Linked DNA regions of Rattus norvegicus. The protein of the gene in region 2 purifies or fractionates together with the protein of the main gene of each other region. This does not show direct contact. Links are inferred from orthologs where the notes say so. Each region holds a gene or a part of one and is shown on either strand. Other genes may lie near its edges.

Evidence for each region.
Region 1: the proteins of Cfap20 (region 2) and Clasrp purify together in Homo sapiens (affinity purification with mass spectrometry; 3 studies listed by BioGRID and IntAct, counting the BioPlex papers as one, with this or other methods). This does not show direct contact. The link is inferred for Rattus norvegicus from reciprocal best matches to the Homo sapiens genes CFAP20 and CLASRP.

Annotation. Positions count from the first base shown.
Region 1 is NC_086019.1:88,355,817-88,366,199, forward strand, and holds the end of Clasrp (CLK4-associating serine/arginine rich protein), read right to left. Parts: intron 9,493-10,383; coding exon 9,277-9,492; intron 9,185-9,276; coding exon 8,915-9,184; intron 8,144-8,914; coding exon 7,886-8,143; intron 7,618-7,885; coding exon 7,578-7,617; intron 7,326-7,577; coding exon 7,265-7,325; intron 7,127-7,264; coding exon 7,068-7,126; intron 6,989-7,067; coding exon 6,942-6,988; coding exon of another isoform or gene 6,940-6,941; intron 5,417-6,939; coding exon of another isoform or gene 5,395-5,416; coding exon 5,312-5,394; intron 4,775-5,311; coding exon 4,750-4,774; intron 4,535-4,749; coding exon 4,492-4,534; 3' UTR 4,419-4,491; downstream 1-4,418. Other genes in the region: Zfp296 (zinc finger protein 296), read left to right, coding at 837-1,092, 1,284-1,427, 2,988-3,937. UniProt on the Homo sapiens protein: Probably functions as an alternative splicing regulator. May regulate the mRNA splicing of genes such as CLK1. May act by regulating members of the CLK kinase family.
Region 2 is NC_086037.1:9,610,431-9,621,524, reverse strand, and holds the start of Cfap20 (cilia- and flagella-associated protein 20), read right to left. Parts: upstream 6,548-11,094; 5' UTR 6,322-6,547; coding exon 6,238-6,321; intron 1-6,237. UniProt on the Homo sapiens protein: Cilium- and flagellum-specific protein that plays a role in axonemal structure organization and motility. Microtubule inner protein (MIP) part of the dynein-decorated doublet microtubules (DMTs) in cilia axoneme, which is required for motile cilia beating.

The DNA.
Region 1 (10,383 bases), on a different chromosome or scaffold from region 2:
AGGGGTCTTTTTTTTTTTTTTTTGGTTTTTTTTGAGACAGGGTTTCTCTGTGTAGCCATGGCTGTCCTGAAATTTACTTTGTAGACCAAGCTGGGCTTGAATTCAGAGAATCCACCTTTCTCTGCCTCCGGAGCATTAGGATTAAAGGCATGCACTTTTACAGTCATTTCTATGTGGTGACCACTCCCTCTCACTGCCACCCTCCATCCCCACATTATGGAATGAAGTCTGGGATGTAGCCCACTGGGTGGAACACTTGACTAGAAGAGTGTCAGAGGTTCTGAGTTCAATGCCCAGCACCACACAATATAGGTGTAGTGAGGCACCCCTGTAAAACCACCGCTGGAGAGGGGGAAGAAAATCAAACGAACGAAGCCATCCTCAAACTAGCCGTTACATGGCTAGTTTGAGCTTAAAAGGCAAAAAAGAAAAAAAGAGGGGGGGTGTTTAAAGCGAAATTTTCTTAGTATACTTCCCCACTAGTGAGAGATGTCCACCACTTCTCGCTTGGGGGATGAGGGGCTGCATCCCGAGCCTCAGGTATCACCAGCGCCTAGGGGTGGGAACGAGGGGCACTGGGAATAGCTTTTTTCACTCTCCTGGGTGAAATCGAGCCCAAGGGAGGAGGGCACAATTTGCGCACTGGTCCCCGGGGCAGCGGGCTGGGCGGGGAAGGTCGAGTTTGACCGCCGCGACTGGCCCCGAAAAGACCCCGCCCCAGTGGGCGGAGACAAGGCAGGACCAGCACGTGTAAAAGGTTCGGCGCGGGTCGCCTAGAGCTACTCACTCACCTGAGCGCCTGGCCGCTACGCGAATTACCTCTGCGTTCTTGCCCCATGTCCCGCCGCAAGGCCGGCCGCGTGCCTCGCCGCGTAGACCCGGAGCCCAACGACGACATGGAGATGCCTGATCTCATCATTGATGTGAAACCGGACCGCGACCTGGGGTCCTTGGCACAAGGGCCCTGGTCCGCGAGGGACGTGCCCATGCCGGGGCTCTTCGATGTGGAGCGTCGCCTCCAAACCGCCTCGCGCCCACTTGGCGCGCCCAGCACGTGTGCCCCGTGGATGCCTCTGAGTTCTATGTCTTCCGGTGAGTTCCTACCTTCGCCCCTGCTTGCATCGGGACCTTTGGGTGGGTGCCTCTCCCCTGAGGATGGCCCGGGGACCGGCCTGGCCTCCCCAGCCTTCGCCTCTAACCTCCGGGTTTCCCCTCTCCACCTTGGAGCCCTCACTCGGAGCCGGGCTCCACCCCACCGCTCACCACCCGCTTCCTCCCTGCAGACCGCCAGCCCTGGACCGACAAGCACCCAGATCTGTTGACCTGCGGCCGCTGCGGGAAGATCTTCCCATTAGGGTCCATCACCGCTTTTATGGATCACAAAAAGCAAGGCTGTCAGCTCCGTCAAATCTCCGACCCCATCTCAGGTAAGTAATTCAGTGTGCAGTGCACGCCTGATCCAGGGTTGGACTTCCTGCCCTGCGGAGGAGCTAAGGTGGACAGATGGGGCACCAATCGTTACTTCCCCTTTCTCCTTGCTCCCCTTAGGGTAGAGCCTGGGCGTGGCTTGGTCTTGCCTGTCCTAGGGCAGGGACTAGAGATGGGGCGGGGGCTGGGCAGTGGAGGAAGGCCACCCACAAGGTGTGGCCAGCCCCAGAAGACTGGCCCGGGGTTTTGCCATACACCCCTAATTTAGTTTCACTTCTTCTTTCCCGTGGACAGAAATAACTGACCAGGTGGCTGGACCAGGGTTGGCAGTAGGGACCTAGTGGAGGATGGGACATTGGCCTGGGGAGTACCACACCTACTGTGTTTTGATCCTTCTCATTGAGGTTTAGACAGTTCAGAACCAGGGAAGGGTCATCTGGCTTGTTCCCCTTGCTGGGATCTCCCAGCAGAGTGCTGGGAAGCCCCTGGTCTGGGCGCTACATACTCGAGTTGTATGTGGGGGAGGAATTAGGACTGCGTGGTGTCTGTCCAGTGAACTCTTGTTATGAGATTTTAAAATATGGTCTGAACTTGAATTTCCAGCCCCCAGCTCATGTGGTGCCCAGGTGGAACTTGGGAAATGTAATTATATTTGGGGCTGGGATCCAATCAGCTTTGGTTGAGGGTGGGGCTAAGATGGGTCCACCTGAATAGCAACTCCAGCAATGACGTGTGGGCACTTGGTGTGGGTCTCTGCTGAATTTAACATTTTAGACAGGGTCTCATCCTGGCCTAGGCAGCTACTATTACTGTTATTATAGGCTTGGATAGTTGTGGGTACTTTGTTTTGTGAGACTGGGTTTCTAAGTAGCCCTGAGTGGCCTAGAACTCTGTAGACCAGGCTGGCCTCCAACTGAATAAAGATCTGCTTGCCTCTGCCTCCCCAGTGGTGGGATTAAAGGCGTGTGTCACCACCTTTGGCTTAGCTGTGGGTATTTTGCTATCTGAGGCTCAGCTCACAGTTGAGGGCTTATTATGGTGACCAAAACTCTCAGCTGTTCCCTATTTGAGGTCAGCCCTAGAAGGGCCACTCAGACTCCCCATACTCTAGCAGCTTAGGAAGCGGGCAGAGAGGGTCTAGTCCAAGGTTACACAGCTAGGGAGGAAAAGCCTTGAGTTTGACAGGTCTCTGTTTAGTTTTGGTCTGTGGTATCATAAAGGCCACCCCGTCCAGACTGGGATTGGGCTATCCAAAGTCTAATAGGTCTGGGGAGTGTCCTGTAGACACTATAGACACCATGAGCCTAGAAAAACATCAAATTTGGAATCCACACACCAGCCCACCTCCCCTAGTGTTGTTTCTGTGCCAAGCCCCAGCTCTGGGCTTTCATATTAAGATCTACTTTTTGAGCCTCTGTCCCTGCTTCCCCAATACCTTGGTGCCCCCCACCCCTACAAATATTAAAACCTGTTTATACTTCAGGAGGTTCCCTGAGGGCAGCATCTGTCATGTAGCATCCTATTGTGGTGATACTCACTGCCCCTTCCTTCCCTTTCAGAATCCAAAGAGCTGAAGGCTCTGAGCTGCCTCCAATGTGGCAGACAGTACACCAGTGCTTGGAAGTTGCTGTGCCACGCCCAGTGGGACCATGGGCTATGCATCTACCAGACACAACAATTGGAGACCCCAGAGGCTCCGTTGCTGGGCCTGGCTGAGGTGGCTGCAGCCATGTCAGCAGTGGCAGTGGTGGGGCCAGTTGAGGACAAGCCCCCTTCAGTGAGTAGCGCTGCCCGGCGGAGCCCTACCTGCTTCGTGTGTAAGAAGACCCTCAGCTCTTTCAGCAACCTCAAGGTCCACATGCGTTCCCACACTGGTGAGCGACCCTACTCCTGTGACCAGTGTTCCTATTCCTGCGCTCAGAGCAGCAAGCTGAACAGACACAAGAAGACCCATCGGCAGCCAACGCCTGGGAGCCCCTCCACTTCTGCCAGTAGCCGCGAAGTCTCCCCAGCAGCCCCTCCTGAACCAGCTGCCTATGCAGCTGCTCCAGCCAGCACTCCCCCATGCCAGAATGTGGAGAAGGCTGGAGCTGCCGCCACAGCCGGAATTCAGGAACCTGGGGCCCCTGGCAGTGGGGCTCAAGAGAGTCCAGGTTTTGGTGGCTGTGGAGCCACTGCCAAAGTAGAGAGGACGGACTCTGTAAAGATGGAGAAGACAACACCCAGGAAGAGTCACCGGGCTGGGGGCAAGTGTGAGTTCTGCGGGAAGTCCTTCACCAACAGCAGCAACCTCACGGTGCATCGGCGATCGCACACTGGCGAGCGGCCCTATACCTGTGACCAGTGTTCCTATGCCTGTGCCCAGAGCAGCAAGCTCAACCGCCACCGCCGCACACACGGGCTGGGAACTGGCAAGACTGTGTACAAGTGCCCGCACTGCCTCGTACCCTTTGTCCTGCAGGCCACGCTGGACAAGCACCTGAGGCAGAAGCACCCGGAGATGGCCTGAGATGTTCTGTACAGACAGGTGTTCCTCAGCAAGAGGACACGGCCAGCACTTAGCCATTCTTTTGTGTAAATAAACCATCTCCTATTTATTCGTGTGCCTGGACTTGGGCTTTCTTGGGGTGTCTGAGGTGGGATGCTCCCTCCATAGTGTGGACAGCTGGACAGACCGGTTTGGAGTGGGGGGTAAGTGCCCTGGGCACTGGAGGACTGGCACAGAAAGCTGTGCTCCCGGTTCTTGGTGTGGGTGAGGCCAGGGGCAGGGAGAGGCCTGGACCTGTCACCAGAGGCTTCTGGGCCCAGTCCAGTCCTATCCCGTCATCCACTGGCCCTGTCCACACATGCCATAGTCTGGGCCTTTGACTGGATTGGCCCCTTCCTCCTGCCCCTGCAGGCCTCACTCACCACACCCTGCAGGCTACCTACAGCACCTGCAGCAGTCTTCAGCCTGGAAGTTCTAAATTAGAGGACAGCATGTGGCGAAGTCCATTAAATAATGTTAGCTTTTATTTCACTACAGAAACCCAGCAGCATAACAGCCCCCAACTCTTCTTCTGCCTAATGTCTGTAATGGGGGCTTCGGGACCTGGACCTCGAACGCCTGCAGAGAAGGGGAAGACTATGAGGGTGGGATGCTGGGAGCCTCCCTCGCACCCACACATGCACCAACAGGCCTGGAGACAGTGCAGAGGGAGGAGTGCCTTCCGTAGGGAACAGGTACAGCCCCACCAAATGAGGGGGTATCAAAAGGAGGGACGCGGGGCACTTCTAGAAGAGCTGGAGGGTCACCCTTGGTGGTTGGGCTATCAGCCTCACCTGCGGGAAGAACTGTACTCTCGACCTGAAAAGAAAAGGAGGGTGATGTGATGCCAGCCAGTCTCCACGGGCCATCCTCACCCTTGCCAAAACATCTCTGTGCCAGGATCAAGCCCCTCCCCCCCACATTCTTAGCACTAAAGGGACAGATGCAGTCTGTATGCTTCAAGCAGTGTCTTACTGGTTTTTTTGTTTGTTTTGAGACCAGGGTCTTACTATTGTAGACCTAACTAGCCTCAAACTCTGAGAGCTTCCTGTCTCTGCCTTTGTACCTTCCTAGAGATGTGCCACAATACCTGGCTGTTAAAGACTTGAAAATAGTACCGTGGAGTCTTTCTGTAATCTAGGTTGCTCCCAAATACCAAATCATCTAGCCATCCTCCTACCTCAGTGCTGGTGTCTTACTGGGGGGGTGGGGAAGTGAACTTTTTATTTGAAGCGGGGATTTCTCCATGTAACCCAGGCTGGCCTCTACCTCTTCAGTGCTGGGACCACAGGGGTGAGCTGCTTGCTAGTGGTCTCCTACCCTGGTACTGCAGGAAGGGTGGGGGGGAACACTCACTGTAGCGTGGGGAGGGTGAGCGGCTCTGGCGGCTGTACTGGCGCTCCCATTCTTCTCTCTCCTTCTCTCGTCGCTCTCGCTCCCTGCAAGGGGAGAGGGGAGGCAACCAACAGGGAGGGGTGAGCACCTGCTGGGCTGTACACCTCCACCTAGACCAGGAAAGCCAAGCCTAGCACAGTAGAGGGCTGGCCAACTGTCTCCCCACAGGCAGGACTGGGAACCCTGGCAGCCTTGTCTATGCCCTGTTCTCCCAGGGGGTCTGTGAGAAGGACCGTATTCCTAAAGTGAGGCTTGGACATGGCTGATGCAGACAGGTGGTGAGGTAAAGTGGCTGAAAGAGCCAGAAGCCAACATGACCAAAGAGCAGAGCAAAGTCCCCAATGACTCTTCTAGGGCTCTGTCTTTGAGAAGGTAGTGAGCGCAGCTAGGACTGGTCTTGAACTCATCATCATCTGGTGGAATTGTACAGGCATGAAAATACCATGCCTGTGCTCTTGCTCTACCCCACAGCAGTGTCTGACACTCAATGAGCATGCCACACACATGTGACAGGACAGCTCAGAGTAAACACTGTGCCATAAGCATGACAACCCGAGTTCCATCCCCAGGTCCAACGCTGGAGAGTTCTGCTATCAATTCACAAGTTATCCCCTGGCCTCCACGCACATGCATGTGCACTGGCTGGCTGATATGTGCACTCACGCTCTCTCTCTCTCTCTCTCTCTCTCTCTCTCCACCCTTCTCCCTCTCACACCAAGATAAACACGGCCTTCCATGCCTGTAATCCCAGCACTTAGGAAGACAAAGCAGGATTGCTACAGATTCATAGCTAATCTGGGCTACAGAGTGAGTTACAGGCTACCTAGACCTACACTGTGAAACACTTATCTCACAAAAGAAAAACAAAAATGTAAATTATGTATATTGTAAAGAAATGACCAAGCAGGAGCTGGCCTGGGCACTGGGCAGCAGGCTGTGCCACAGCAGTTGGTGGCATGGCTTACCACAGAGATAGGAGCCATCCCCACCACTGTTCCAGAGGAAGACAACTGAGCTCAAGAAAGCAAAATGTTTGTTCCTCTACTTTGACACAAAGCAGAAAGAACTGTCAGGAGCAGGCCCCCATCCCTGACCGGCTCCCCTCTTTGCCAATACACAGTGTAACAGCCCAGGCTCTGACAGAGACCCTCAGGTAGTCATCCTAGCGCTTAGTTTGGTGGGCACTGAGGGGATGGCCCACTTGAGGCTCCAAGATGATAGGTACCCACCCCAGAGCCACCTGATCAGACTTAAGACAGCTGAAACTAAATCCCAAGCCTGTGGGCCCAGGCTCTGACTGGCCCAACACAGAGTGGAGGAAGAGAAAGAAGAGAAGAAGAAAAAGCTCTTGGGCCACAAGACTGGCCACAGGCAGCTTCACGTCACCAATTGTTAGGCATCAGACACCAAAGGACAGTTGCCAGGTATGGGGAGGTCAGGAGGTAAAGGCCTGGGGCATGTGGAGGGCGGGCAGGCAGGCAGGCAGGCTGCCAGGGGAAGAGGACAGCAGTAGTTGGGCTTCAGAACCAGTGAAAGGACCAAGGTGGCTCCAACTACAGGAGGCTGGGTGGACCACAGGTCGGAGCCTTACTTCATTCGGATCTTTCGGGCCATGGCTCGCAGTTCATCCTCGCGTTCCTGCAGCAGAAACAGCTATGAGGGGTGGTCCGGCCCCCCACTCTACCTGCATGCCCTGCCCATCCGAGCACAGCCTGACCTGCCGCTCGTGCTCCTGCTGGATCATCTTCTCCTGAGCTGCCTTCTTATCCGCCTTGACTGTGGATGGAGGGAGAAAGGGTGTGAGGCTGAGGGCTGGGCTCACAGTCCCCACACCAACTGGACCTGCTCAGGCAGGCTCAAGAGAGGTCAGCCCACTCTTCCCACAGCCCCAGCTGGACTGAAGGCAGGACTTACACTGGCGGTTCAGAGCCTTCTGCATCCGCAGCTTCAGCCTCTCCTGTGGGGTCAGCTTGGGCTGCGGGAGAAGGGGCGGGACAGGCGTGGGTGCCCAGAGCTCGCCCAGCCCACCTCAGCCAAGAGTCTGGACTTAGGGGTCAGCTGGAGCCCCATGGGAGGCAGGGAGGGGACTTAGTTTGCCTGGGTAGCCCTTCCCCAGTCCCTGGGCTGGCTCTCCCCTCCCCCTGGGCCCCCTGCAGGCCCACCAGGCCCAGCTCTGGACACTGCTGCTGACGGGAATTAGACGGGCGAGTTCCAAATTCTTACTGACTTTGGCAGCTCCTGTCTCTTTACCAGCGGCAGGTTCGGTCCTGGGTTTTGAGAGAAAATGGCAATGCCACTTTTACCATAAGCCTCAGGACTGGCATCAGCCATGAGCTCCAGACTCCTCAGGATATGTTCTAACCCTTATAACCTAGGCAGGACCACATCCCTGACAGCCTACTCAAGCCAAGGCCATGATGGCCCTGACCCCCCCCTGCAGTGCACACACCTCCCAGAATTGCCAGGATACTGCTACATTCCCTTCAAAATAAACTGAGGGGGGGTCCCTCAGCACCAGCCAGGCCCCTAACTCACTTTTTCAGCTTCTCGCCCACAGCAGGGGATGCTGCTGGCCTGGTCAGCTTCTCCCTTGGGGGCGATGGCGAGTGACTCTGGCTCTGGCTGTGGCTCTGGCTGCGGCTTCTGCTCCGGCTCTGGCTTCGGCTTCCACTCCGGGTCAGACTGCGGCTTCGGGAAGGGCTGAGGGACCAGCTGCTGCGGCTATGACTGCTGCTGTGGTGCCTGGGGCCCCGGGCACCCCGCTTATAGCGGTCACCTGAACGGGAGCGGCTCCTAGGTGTAACAGGAGGAGGAGGGCTGTGAGGCTCCAGGGACCTACAGGGAGTCACCCCAATTTCCAAATCCACTTTGCTCCACACCAATCTACAGGTTCTGCATCAGTTGCACAGCCCAGGGTTTCCCTTCTAGGAGCACTAGTAGTATTCTCAAGAAAGTAGTCACCCCAGGCTGGCATTCAATTTGTGATTGCCCTACCCCACCCCACCCCTGCCGCCGTTCCCCTGTGGTCATGCTACAGGAAAGACCCAGAAGCCATTTTCCAAGCACATAATTAATGAATCTCCCTAGGCTGATTAGTACTCGTCTTCAGTTCTGAGTGCATACTCAGTCTGGTAACATGCATGTTCAGCCTCCTGAGAGCAACAGAAAAATGACGGCTCGCCTAGCCATTAATGACTGATGGCCCCATAGCTGTGTCTGTTCTACAAAGAAATTCCAGCTGTGTCACTAAGCCTGGCCCTATACAAACTCCCCACTGCTGCTTTCCCCAACCAAACTTAAAAACAGCTACAGCCCACGCTCCTCTGTCCCCTGGGAACCCTCCCTCTTCTTCAAAGGATGTTGCCCTGCCCACGAGGTTCCCAGGTCCTGTAGACCGGGAAGTTCAAGCAAAAGCCAAGGAGATACCTCCATGCCCCGCCCCATACTTTGGGTACCCACCCCGTCCTTCTTCCAATCACGTGCTTCCCAAGAGAAGAGGGCTGGCCTGGTCTGTCCACAGCCCGCCTCCCCAGTACCCGCTCCTGCCCCGTCGCTATCACAGACCTGCTCCTTCGGCGGGGCGCGTACCCGCTGCGCCGGGCTGGCGAGCGTGAGTAGCGGTGTCCGTCGCGGGAACCACCGTCTGAGTGCCGTCGTCCACGGCTGCGGGAGCGGGAATAGCGCCGGGAACGGGAGCGCGAGCGGGACCAGGAGCGGGAGCGAGAGCGCGCGTGGCGGCCAGAACGGTAATAGCCACGGCGGGAGCGCGAGCTGGAGCGCGAACTGGATCGGGAACTGGAGGTCCTGGAGGCGGAGGACGAAGAGGAGCGGCGGCTGCGGGAGGACGGGGTTTGTCAACGACAACGTCCTAGGGGGCCCGTCCCTCCACCCGGCGGTCAGCTAGGGCAGGCACGAGCGTTACCGACCGGGCGCTGGCATTACGGCCTGGAGCGGGGCCACCCGGTTGGGGAGGCGCGGGGGGCTTCCCTGGGGCAGCCCCGGATGCGGCGGCTGCAGCAGCTGCTGCAGCTGCCTCCTCGTCGCTGCCTCCAAAACTCGTGATAAAAGTGATTTTTTCCTCGCGGCCTGGGCTCGGGGAGCGAGAGCGGGAGCGGGACTCGGAACTGGATTCCGAAGGTGACCTGCAGCCAGAGGGCGGGCAAAAGAGAGGCAGCATTCAGAGCCCCAGCTGTACCAGAGCCCTAGTGGGATGTATGAATTCAAGTCTAGCCTGGTATACATACATTGCGAGGTCAAGAGCTACATAGAAAGTCCTTGTCTCAAAATATAAATATATATATGTGTGTGTGTGTGTGTGTGTGTGTGTGTGTATGGTATACATACATTGCGAGGTCAAGAGCTACATAGAAAGTCCTTGTCTCAAAATATAAATATATATATATGTGTGTGTGTGTGTGTGTGTGTGTGTGTGTGTATATATATATATATATATAATTTTTATTTTATTTTTTTTACTAAATAAGTCTGTGACTGGTGGGATGGCTCAGCAGGTAAGGCTTTTGCCTCCAAGCCTGAAAACCTCAGGTCAATCCCAGAATCTAAACGGTAGAACGAGAGCTGACTCTAAGCTGTCCTTTTATTTTCAGCCCTGTGGCACATGTGCACCACCCCGACCCAGACTGATAAATGTAATTTTTCAGAAAATGGGGGGTGGGGGGTTTGAAGGGAGGGGTAGTGGCACACACCCTTAATCCCAGCAGTGAGAAGGCTAAGGCCGGCAGATCTCAGTTTGAGGCCAGCATAGAGAGTTCCAGGACAACCAGGGCTACATAAGAGTCCTTGTCTCAATGTCTCAATAAGCAACAACCACAAAACCCAAAACAAACAAAAGAAAAAAAAAAAAAAAAAAAAGGCTGGCTTTCTGTGCTAGTTAAAAAACGAAAGACTAGGTGTAATGCAAAGAAGGCTTTGCCTATGCAAGAGACCCTGGGTTCCAGTCCTAGAACAGAAGCAAAACACAGTGAGGTCTTCCTGTCAACCTAGAGAGGAACTCAACTAATTCCATCCCATAA
Region 2 (11,094 bases):
GCCAACAGAGGGAGCTAGAATGCACTCCAGAATCCCTAGGCCTCTTCTCATCCAGAGGCAAGCCAGCCTGATTGTTAGTGAGTAATTCACTAACAAATATTTCCCCCCTTATAAGGCCCCTTTCAAAGGGCTGGAAATACAAACTGGCTGGAAAAATGGAGTGGGGTGCAGATGGTGGTTGGGGATGTGAGCATTCAAGGACAGGAGACTTCTCAAAGCCTCTTCTCTAGGCTCTGGAAGAAGGGAGTGGTTCTTGGGCAGGGTTTCCACCCCATCCCCTCTAGAAATGACTACATCAGCTGTGGTAGTGCATGGGTGTAAACCTTGCAAACTAGGATAGTCTGGTAAGTTCTGAGGCCAGCCTGGTGGACACAGCAAATATCAGATTAGCCAGTGCTACACAGTAATCCCCTGTGTCCAACAAAAACAAAACAAAACAGACCAGGCTGTCACTGCCTTTCAGGAAGTAACCCCCATCCTCTGGGAAGCTTCTGGAAAACACATGTGGTAAGATGTATGGCCCCAGAAAGTGTCAACTTCCTTTCCTCAGCTCAGAGTTCACTAGGCAGGCCTGGCCTTCGGATGAAGATAAATGCATTCTCTGGCATTTAGGTGGAAGCAGGTTTCACTTTACTTCTTCCTCGAATTAGCTTATGACATGAATTCTTTCACGATCTATGCTCACACTCCGAGTATGGCCTATGAACACTTTCTTGCTTTACTCTCCTCTCTCTAATACTTAGTCATAGGCTGAAGAGATGCTTAGCAACTAAGAGCACTTGCTGCCCTGGCAGAGGAGCCCAGGTTCGGCCTCTACACTCACGTGGCTCCTGACCATGGTACTGCAGTTCTGGGGTCTGATGTGCGCTTCCAGCCTCTGCTGGAACCTGCACTTACTTGGTAAGCATAAATACAACCAGGCGCGTGCACAGGACTCTGCACGCACGCACGCACAGAGATCCCTCAACCTTTGAAGTCAGCGTGATAGCGACGCACCTCTGGATGTCTGCTATGTGCTTCCAGAGAAGTTTAATGAGAGAAGACCCACCCCAAATGTGGGTGGTACCAATCCATCTTCGGTTCAGACTCCATCACTGAATAAAAAGGAGAAAAGATGGGGGCTGGAGCGATGGCTCAGTAGTTAAGAGCACTGGCCCAGCACACACATATCAGTTCAAACTGTGTGCAGCTCTGGTTTCAGGGGATTGGCACCCTCACACAGATATACATGCAGGCAAAACGCCAAGTGGAGATAACCAATGGACAATAATAAATAAACAAACTAATGAACATCAAATATAGATAAATAAAAGATTTAAAGAGTAAAAAAGAAATGCAAGATTAGTGTCAAAATTCTCTGCTCACTGACTCCTGATCTTCATAGGTGTGGAGTCCCAGATGCCTGTCCCTGCTACCACGAACTTGGCCACACCTTTCTCCCTACTCCTACTTTCTCCTTAGACCAAGAGCCAAACAATAACTTTCTTACCTTAAGTTATTCTGCCACAGCAGCTAAAAAGCAACAAAATTATTATCAGCATGCACAGTAACAGGTTTAACAGGTACAGTGGCTGCACTTAGGGGGCTGAGGCAGAAGGATCGCTACCTTAGGCTTCTAACTCCAGTTCAGTCTGGGCACATTGTTAAGATCTGAGTTTGGATCCTCAGCACCCACGTAAGCCGGGAAAGGCAATGCATTGCCTATAACCCCAGCACTGGGAGGTGGGGATGGGCAGTCTGGGTTCAATACCTAGCCAGCTTATGTCTACCTCCAGCTTCCACAAGCAAACACGTCAGCACATACACCCCACACATATGCATGCACACACACACACTACTCATGAGAACCCAAAAAAGGAAGAAAATGAATGGACTTCATAATGACATATGTAAACGTTATTATATTGTATTCTTATTCATCCCTGTGCACCTTGGCCCATCATCCTACACACAAAGTATATGGCAGCTTTTGAACCCAAGGCACTGGCAATTAGAGACGAGAGTGATCCTCGGATTCCAGACACCAGGGGAGCAAACCTTCAGCTCATCTCAGTCATTCTCCCAGGCTCTTCATGGTTGCTGGGCAACTAATAAAGAACACTGATCTTCCCCCTTCTCTGTGTAAGCCCTAGGGAAGAGGGTCAAGATGAGGGAAAAATAATACTACAGGGATAGGGAGGAAGCTGGCCAATCTCCACAGTTCTACAGAGTGATTCAAAAATAACACATTAGCTGCACCATTCCCTCTGCCCGCCTCCCCCACTTTCATTTTCTGGCTGCACTCACTCACTCTGCAGCTGAAACCTCAGCCATCTGGCATGTCCTCTTACTGACACATGTCCCGACTTACATTAAGCCCCTAAAGCTGTCTCCTGCAGCAGGAAGTATGTGCCCAGGGCCAGGGACCTGGCTCCAAGTCAGAAAACAGGGAGAGGGAGCCCTCTGTGGGAAACTGTGGTCAGAGCTCAGCCGCAGGGACCTTGGGCTGCTCTCCACCTGCAGTACTTTTACAAGTACTAACACACGACAGGCAGCTCCAGACACATGCAAATGATCCCTTTAGCTAATCTGGGTACCACAGTGTGTCTTTCTTTCTCTTCCTTCCTTTCTTCCTCTCTTGTACTCCCTCACTTTCTCTCTCCCTCTTTCTTTCCAGACCGGGTTTCTCTGTACCCCTGGTTGTCCTGGAACTCACTCTGTAGACCAGGATGGCTTCAAACTCTCGGAGATCCACCTGCCTACTGGGATTAAAGGTGAGCACCAGCAGCACCTTGTTCATAGTGTTTCTTGAAAGGGCACAAGTAAACGGAACCCACTGTTTCCATCCTGTTACAGTAAAAGATATTATTCATAAAAATAAAGACAGCCTTGGAAAGTGAAAATCATTTTACTCTTTCTATCCAAAGACACTCAGTTCCATTCATGGAGGCCAGATAGATTTAGCACATATCAACAAGATTTATTAAATTAAAAGTCAGAGTCTAGGGCCAGCAAAGTAAGTAAGATAAACCTTATTGCAGCCAAGTCTGATGTCCTGAGTTCAATTCTTGAACCCACATGGTGAAAGGAAAGAACTGACTCCTAACTCCTATAACTGGTTCTTTGACTTCTGTGGGCATAGGCAAGAACATGTACACACACACACACACACACACACACACACACACACACACACACACACACACTAAACAAAAATGTAGTGACTTTTTTTTAAACTTTGGAGAGGGACTTTATTCTTTCCTAAAATGAGAAACAGGGACCCAGGCATCATGACCACTTAACAAGATCAACAACAGACTCTGATAAAGTCACATTCCATGGAGAAACATCAGCAGCTGGGAGGAGAGAAGAGAGAGCAGAACTCACAAATCAGTCTGATGGGCTTCTAGTAGCAACACAAGCCAGTCCCATGGACTTCCAGCGCAGCAGCAAAGAGGACTGAAGCTCATGCAGTACAGTGCAGGATGAGGAACACTCTGTTTTTTATTTTTGTTTTGAGACAATAACTCACTAGGTCACCCTGGTTAGTCACCCTAGGACTCGCTGTATTCACCAGGCTAGACTCAAACTCAGAGACTCCTCTGCCCTTGCCTCCTCAGTGCTGGGATTAAAGCTGTACCCACCCAGCCCTAACATTCTTAATAACGACAGTCGGATCTGGTGGTTCCAGAAGTCAAGCAACATTAAAGAGCCTGTTGAGGGGGCTGGAGAGATGGCTCAGTGGTTAAGAGCACCGACTGCTCTTCCTGAGGTCCTGAGTTCAAATCCCAGCAACCACATGGTGGCTTACAACCATCTGTAATGAGATCTGATGCCCTCTTCTGGTGCATCTGAAGGCAGTTACAGTGTACTCATATACAATAAAATAAAATCTTAAAAAAATAAATTTATAAGAGCCTGTTGATTCTTTCTGAGCTCTTGGTCTGAAAACCAATAAAGATTTGTCTCAGATCTTAAGTAAGTCCCAGCGTGACAAGGAGGATGCAGAGGCTGGGAGCTGACAAACTGAGCCTGCAGGGCCAAGGCAGCACCAGAGGTACTGCTTCCTCTGCACTGAGCCGGAGACCAAGGAAGATGTGGGTGGACTTGGGGTGAAAGCCAGCACCAACCAGTGCGGGAGGTTTTACACTGCAGAGAGCTTCATGGCCTTCACATGCAGGAGTCTGTTTCTAAGGAGGGGCCAGTGAGTGAGCCTGGACAACTAGTTAGACAGATGCCAGCCATTAGAGGTTTGGGAGAGGAAAAGCCAAGGGACGATGACTGCACCGTCTTAATTTCAGAAGCCTAAGCAGATGCTATACCCAATCCTTCAAGATTGTTGTTTTATGGAAGCCAAGTAGGCATTCTCTCTGTGCACAAATGCAAAAGTCAGAATAGTAAATATTTGTGATATCAAAATGGAACCCAAAATAGTCCTCAGTCAGTGTGTAGTGTCTACTGGCAAAGGGCCAAGCCACGTGTAGGTAACAGACAGCCCTATCATCCTCTACCCTACAACCAGACCTTACTTCTCAGGAAAAGGGCAGTTCCCCCTCAATTCTGTATCCGTAGACAATGCCTGTCACTCAGGTGTTGCTCAGTAAATCCCTGATAAACATGATCGATAAACATGACCAGTTCCCAGGGTCTCCTTGACTGGACTGTTCCCAGTTACTGGGAACTTCATAACTTAACTCAGGAAAGGCCTGAACACAGCAAAGCTAACCTGGAGGCCGAACTTCCCCTCCATCCTTGCCTCCTCTTGCTTCAACTGGAGAAAACCTCTCCCTTAAATGCTAAGTCTGTCAAATCCAAACAAGAGTTGGAAACATAACTAATTTCTTTCCAAAATGTCTGTTTAATTTGCTCCATGTAACTCTGCTCCAACAATGTTTCTTACGTGTTTATGTCATCAGGGTACCATTGGCCCTTTAGAGGCGTTGTTAAGGGACACAGCGAGCGCACCATGGTTACTCTGCTTTCTCTGCCATGTGTAAACATGGTGACCAGTCAAAAAGTCGGGCTTGAAAAAAAAAAATAAACCACATCTCAGATCAAAACCAGGGGGGAAATGAATGCCTCTGAGAGAAGCTTCGACACTTCTCTCCCATCGTAACTGTCCAGATACCAAGCTGGTGAGCATCCTCCTCCAAACACTGCCAGGTGGACTTGCTCTGGGTTCTCGGTGCAGAGGTCTGATTTAAGAACTCCTGATGCTTCATTTCAAAATGAATAAACACTCAGGAGAATGGGGGAAGTTAAGGGTCTGCTTCCTACGCCATACTCTTGACATAACTCTGGCTATGGATCTGAAAGAGTTGGTCAGACTGCTCACGTACCAAAGGCCAGATCTTGTTGAGCTCTCAACTGACTTGGCCAAATGACACGATACTTCCAACAGGCTTCTCTCAAAACTGTCCTCAGAACACACGACTCTCTAGCAGTGACAAGCTGAAGGCAAGTCAGGTACTCTGTCAACCACTATGCGCCTCAAAGCCCTCCTCTGTGAATTAGGAAAGACACTGCATTGTTCTCGTTCCACTAACAATAATCTTGACTTATTCCACCCATTCTATATACATCTCTATGAACACCACCTCTCTCCATCTTCCCCCGCCGAGGGCAGAACTAAAGCTACTCCCTAAATCACCTGGCTTCCGCATTAGAGTGCCCACTTTGTATTTAAAAAAAAAAAAAAACGAATCTTCACGAGAAAAGAAACGCCAAGGCATTTCTGCTAGCTCTTAACATCTCCAAAAGTGAGCAGGGAAGGCCACCATCTCATGTGGCAAACGAAGATACCATCCATTCCAGAGGACGGCTAGATAAAAATACGGAGGCTTGACACTGGGTCTGCACTTGCGGCTCTTGAGAAGCCTCTAACAATCACCTTTGTGCAGTTTTCGGAGAAAGCCGGTACAGGAGGAACAGTACGGACTCTAAGTTAAAGAAAGCTCGCAGCCAAGTTCCAAAGGTCAGGCTATCGGCGGTCAATGAAATGGAGGGGGCTAATGAATGAGACCGGAACACCTCTGGCTTGGCCGGTGCTCAGGATGCCCGGGAAAGAGGCCCTCTGTCTAGAGGGCAGCACAATGCCTGGTATCAGCGAACACATGCATGTCTTTCATCAAAGGACTATGCGTTTCAAGCTAGGCTGTGGACCCTGCACCCATTCTACTGACCAGGAAGCCGAGGCTCAGTAGCCACACCATTTCGTGGGCGGCGAGTGCCCCGCCCACACCCCGCCCCATCGCTCACCTTTTTGTCCCAGATCTGCAGGGGCTTGCTGCCGATGCTGTAGAGGATGGAGAGGAAGCCGCTCTGGAACGTGTTCTTGAACATCTCGCCAGCCGCGGCCCCGCAGCCGCCCTAGGCCCGGGACTGGAAATCGGAACCGAACGGCGAAAGAGAGAGGGTGCCGCCGGTCCGAAGGAAGGACACTGAGCTGCAGCCACTGACGGCGGGAAGCGGCGGATCCGCAAGCCTCGGTGAACACACAGCCACCTCAGCACCGAAACCACAGCAACTGCCGCCCGCGCCGCCAAGCCTGCCTGAGAGGAGGCGGAGCGCCGCCGCGGCCAGCCACGGATCCCTCCGCACGCCTGGGCCCGCCTCCCGGAGGCGCATCACCCAGTCCTACCGCAGAAAGAGCGGTTTCCGGTTCCTTCCGCCCTTAGGCCCGCCCCTTCCTGCCCCCTCCGGAGCGGAACTCGGTTGCCAAGGGACTATTCCCCGCCCCTCCCCACTGCAGCCGAGACTTGCTTCAGAACAGCGGAAGGAGACGTAAGAAGTTACCGCACGTGTTTACAGTGCCTGCGTGGTGTCATGGGAACCGGGAGGCGTGTGGAGGGGTGGAGTCACGCCAGACACCTCCCCTGAAGGGCGGGAAGAGTAAGGAAGGTGGCTTTGTGCCAAGTACAGATAAGCATTACCCTCGGTGTGTTGATGCCAGACTTTAATCCTAGCACCGGATTTAATCCCAGCAGAGGCAGAAAGTTCTCTGTATTTGAGGCCAGCCTGGAGTACATAACTAACTCCAGGACAGCCAGGACTCGGAGACACCCTGTCTCAAAAAACAAATGTGGGTTGGCCCAGGAGAACAGGAGACAGAAGAATGTGTAAGCTAATGAATCAGTATTGAGTGCCCTATTTACATCATCATCTTTAGTTATCAAGTCACGGTGAGTGAGACGATGTGAAAGCAATACCCTGGGGAAAACATCTCTTTAAATGCATTGATCCGAAAACAAGAAAGCCTGAACATTAAGATATAAGCGAAAATTGGGCTGGAGAGATGGCTCAGCGGTTAAGAGCACCCGACTGCTCTTCCAGAGGTTATGAGTTCAATTCCCAGCAACCACATGGTGGCTCACAACCATCTGTAAAGAGATCCGATGCCCTCTTCTGGTGTATCTGAAGACAGCTACAGTGTACTTATATATAATAAATAAATAAATCTTTAAAAAAAAAGATATAAGCGAAAATTAATAAAAATTAAACACAATTGGACTGGTCCAGTTGAACCAATAGCTGATTCGGGTTTTTTGTTTGTTTGTTTGTTTGTTTGGTTGGTTGGTTGGTTGGTTTTTTTCTTTTTTTTTTCGGAGCTGGGGACCCAGGGCCTTGCGCTTGCTAGGCAAGTGCTCTACCACTGAGCTAAATTCCCCAACCCCAGCTGATTCGTTTTAAAGAGTTTGAAGCAAAGGCAATCACTTTAGCAATTTTAACGATCATAGTTGCAAAGTTTACACGTTTACTGTGTGACAGGTATAGGCAGCGCCTTACCTTGCATTAACTCACTCAACCCTCACACCAGAACTTTGAGTACTCCAGCCAGAATTTCTAGATATCGTGAAAAATATGTGAATCTATTACTGTATAAAAATGAAACTTGTTATATGGAATTTATTTTTGCATGATATCTGGAGATTCTTTATGTACTCTAAGCCAAGTGAATAATTTATAACTTGTTTTTAAGTTGTTCAGAATATCCTCAGGAGGAAAACGATTCAACATAAGAAAGAAATGATGGCGTATGAGTTTCTATGGTGATTTAAATGTTGCATATAATTAACCACTTGATATCTTAGAAAAAGTAAGTTATTTCTAGAAATAATTCACCAGTACTAAGTCTGGAAATAGAAAACGGAATGACTAATAAATAATTAAGGTAATAACTGAACTCCTCAGGAGGTTCTGAACCCTGTCTCATGGCTTTTTTTTTCTGATTAATGTAATACAGATTATTGAGGAAGCTATAAAAAGTAACATTACAGTCACTCATAATATCACCATTCAGAAATAATTGTATGCCTCTGTATATTGTCCCCATGGCTACCTGCCCAGTCCTCCTTAATCTGCCCTCATCCCATCACATATTAATGTGTGCAGACAGCCTCAGAGGCTGTGGTTGCTAAGATCCATCCTCTGGACCAGTGCGTGTGGAATCCATCACTGTCCTCCCAGCCAGGCATCTGCATTTATCTCTCCCCTCCCCCAGGAATGGCCATCTTTATACATCTTCCCCTTAAAAACCCGGATGAGAACTTCTTTGGCTTGTGTGTCTGCTCCAGAGTTACTAGATAGGAATAAACACGGTCCAGTTGGACCGAATGGCTCTTGCAAATCATGTAGCCATTGACGTTCCCACAGACAATGCGTATAGTGACAACCATTAGTCTGCTTTCTAAAATTTGCAGGTCTGAACTATGTACATGTTGTTTTGGCTTATTTTTTTCACTTTCTGACTACTATTAGGCTGGCTCATCTTTTCATAGGCATTTAAAATTAATTTAAAGTCACTTCTATGTTTTTATTATATGTGTATGGGGATGTCTCTCCCTGCATGGATGTCTGTGCACCCTCCCCCAGTGCTCTTAACCGCGGAGCCGTCTCTCCCGCCCCTCTTCGCAGGTGTGTAATTGCTTTTATTTGGGGTGGGCAAGAGGGATTCGTTGGTAAAGACACCTGTCACGAAGCCTGAGGATCTGACCCACAGGATAGATGAGTGACTGCCTCAATTTGTTCTCTGAGCTTCCTACACACACACATCCCTCCTCTCACACACACAGAGACTTTATTTTTTAATTGCTCGTTTGTGTTTTTTACCCACGTCTCCACTGAGGCTCTTCATCCTTTATTGGTTTGTGAGGCCTAGCATTCACCTCAGAAGCATCTGCTGCTGAGTGGCGTTGACAGCTTTGCTTTCCTATGTAGGCCACCCATTTCTGTCAGTGGCACGTCCGAGACCTCCTTTTCTCAGTGGTTTTCAAGACCACTTTTGTGTATAATAAGTTTCCATATTTACACCTGTCTCTTTCTGAGCTCTCTCTTCTAGTCTCCTGTTCAAAGTGCTTATACAAAACGCCAGTTGCAGGCCTTTAATCCCAGCACTCAAGGGGCAGAGGAGGCAGAGGAAACAGAGGCAGAGGAAACAGAGGCAGAGGCAGAGGCAGAGAGGCAGAGAGGCAGAGAGGCAGAGAGAGAGGCAGAGGCAGAGAGGTAGAGAGGTAGAGAGGCAGAGAGGCAGAGAGGCAGAGAGAGGCAGAGAGAGAGGCAGAGGCAGAGAGAGGCAGAGAGAGAGGCAGAGGCAGAGAGGTAGAGAGGTAGAGAGGCAGAGAGGCAGAGAGGCAGAGAGAGGCAGAGAGAGAGGCAGAGGCAGAGAGAGGCAGAGAGAGAGGCAGAGGCGCAGAGAGGCAGAGGCAGATGGCTTTCTGACTTTGAGGCCTACCTGTTCTACACAGTGAGTTCCAAGACAGCTAGGGTTACAGAGAAACCTTGCCTTGAAAAATCCAAAGGGAAAAAGAAAGCAGTGCTTATACCGATACAGACTACATTTATGTCAGTGTTGTGGTGTACCTTGATATATCTAACAGGGCAAACATTTTCTATTTTTCCAAAGCTAGTTTGTAACAGGTCTTTGTTATTTTGTGCATTCTTTTTCCCCCCACCCTCTATCCCCCTGCTCTTGGTTTCACCCCCTATGACTAGAGAGGAGATAAAGAAGGATGAAGGACTCTGAATCTAATTTCTTTTTTCTTTTGTTTCTTCTTTAAGCGTAACTACTAGCAACCAATCACCAACCACCAACCCTGCCTCTTTGGGCCGTAGCATTTATATAGCCTCTGAAAAATCTCCCAGAATTCTATCTGCAGCAGACAAAACAACGCCTCTGCTAGAGCAAGAGGCAAATCATAGTCAACTGCTGTGGACAGTCTGAAACGGCCCCATATCCCACACCTGGGATTAAAAAGAAAGCACATTCTTGTAATATTTCCATGTTTTTTATTTTAGAGATCAAAATTCCAGAATTGTCAGTGCACTAGTTTGTCTAATATTCATGGGGTTTTATTTTTCCATTCAGATTTTACAGTAAATTTATTGTTCAATTTTGATTAAGATTAGATTGTTGTTGTTGTTTTTTTTTTTTCTTTCTTTCTTTTTTTTTTTTTCGGAGCTGGGGGACCGAACCCAGGGCAAGCGCTCTACCACTGAGCTAAATCCCCAACCCCTAAGATTAGATTGTTATAGGGCTGGAGAGATGGCTCAGTGGTTAAGAGCGCTGACTGCTCTTCCAGAGGTCAGGAGTTCAATTCCCAGCAACCACATGGTGGCTCACAACCATCTGTAATGGGACCTGATGTCCTCTTCTGGTGTGTCTGAAGACAGCTACAGTGTACTCAATATAAAATAGATAAATCTTTAAAAAAAGATTAGATTGTTATAGATTTGTTTAACAAAAGTGTCTTGCCGAGCTTGGTGGTATACACCTTTTACCCAGCATTCCAGAGGCAGGAGTAGACGGATCTCGGAGTTTGAGGCCAGTCTAGTCCTACAGAGCGAGTTCCAGGACAGCCAAGGCTACATAGACCCTGTCTAAAAAGGGAAATAAAATAAAATAAAAAACAAACTTACTTTCATACTTCCTATGGCTGCCACGACAAATGACACTCACTGTCTTAGGGTTTAACTGCTGTGAACAGACATCATTACTAAGGCAACTCTTATAAGGACAACATTTAATTGGGGCTGGCTTACATGTTCAGAGGTTCAGTCCATAATCATTAAGGTGGGAGCAGGACAGCATCCTGGCAGCCATCGTGCAGGAGGAGCTGA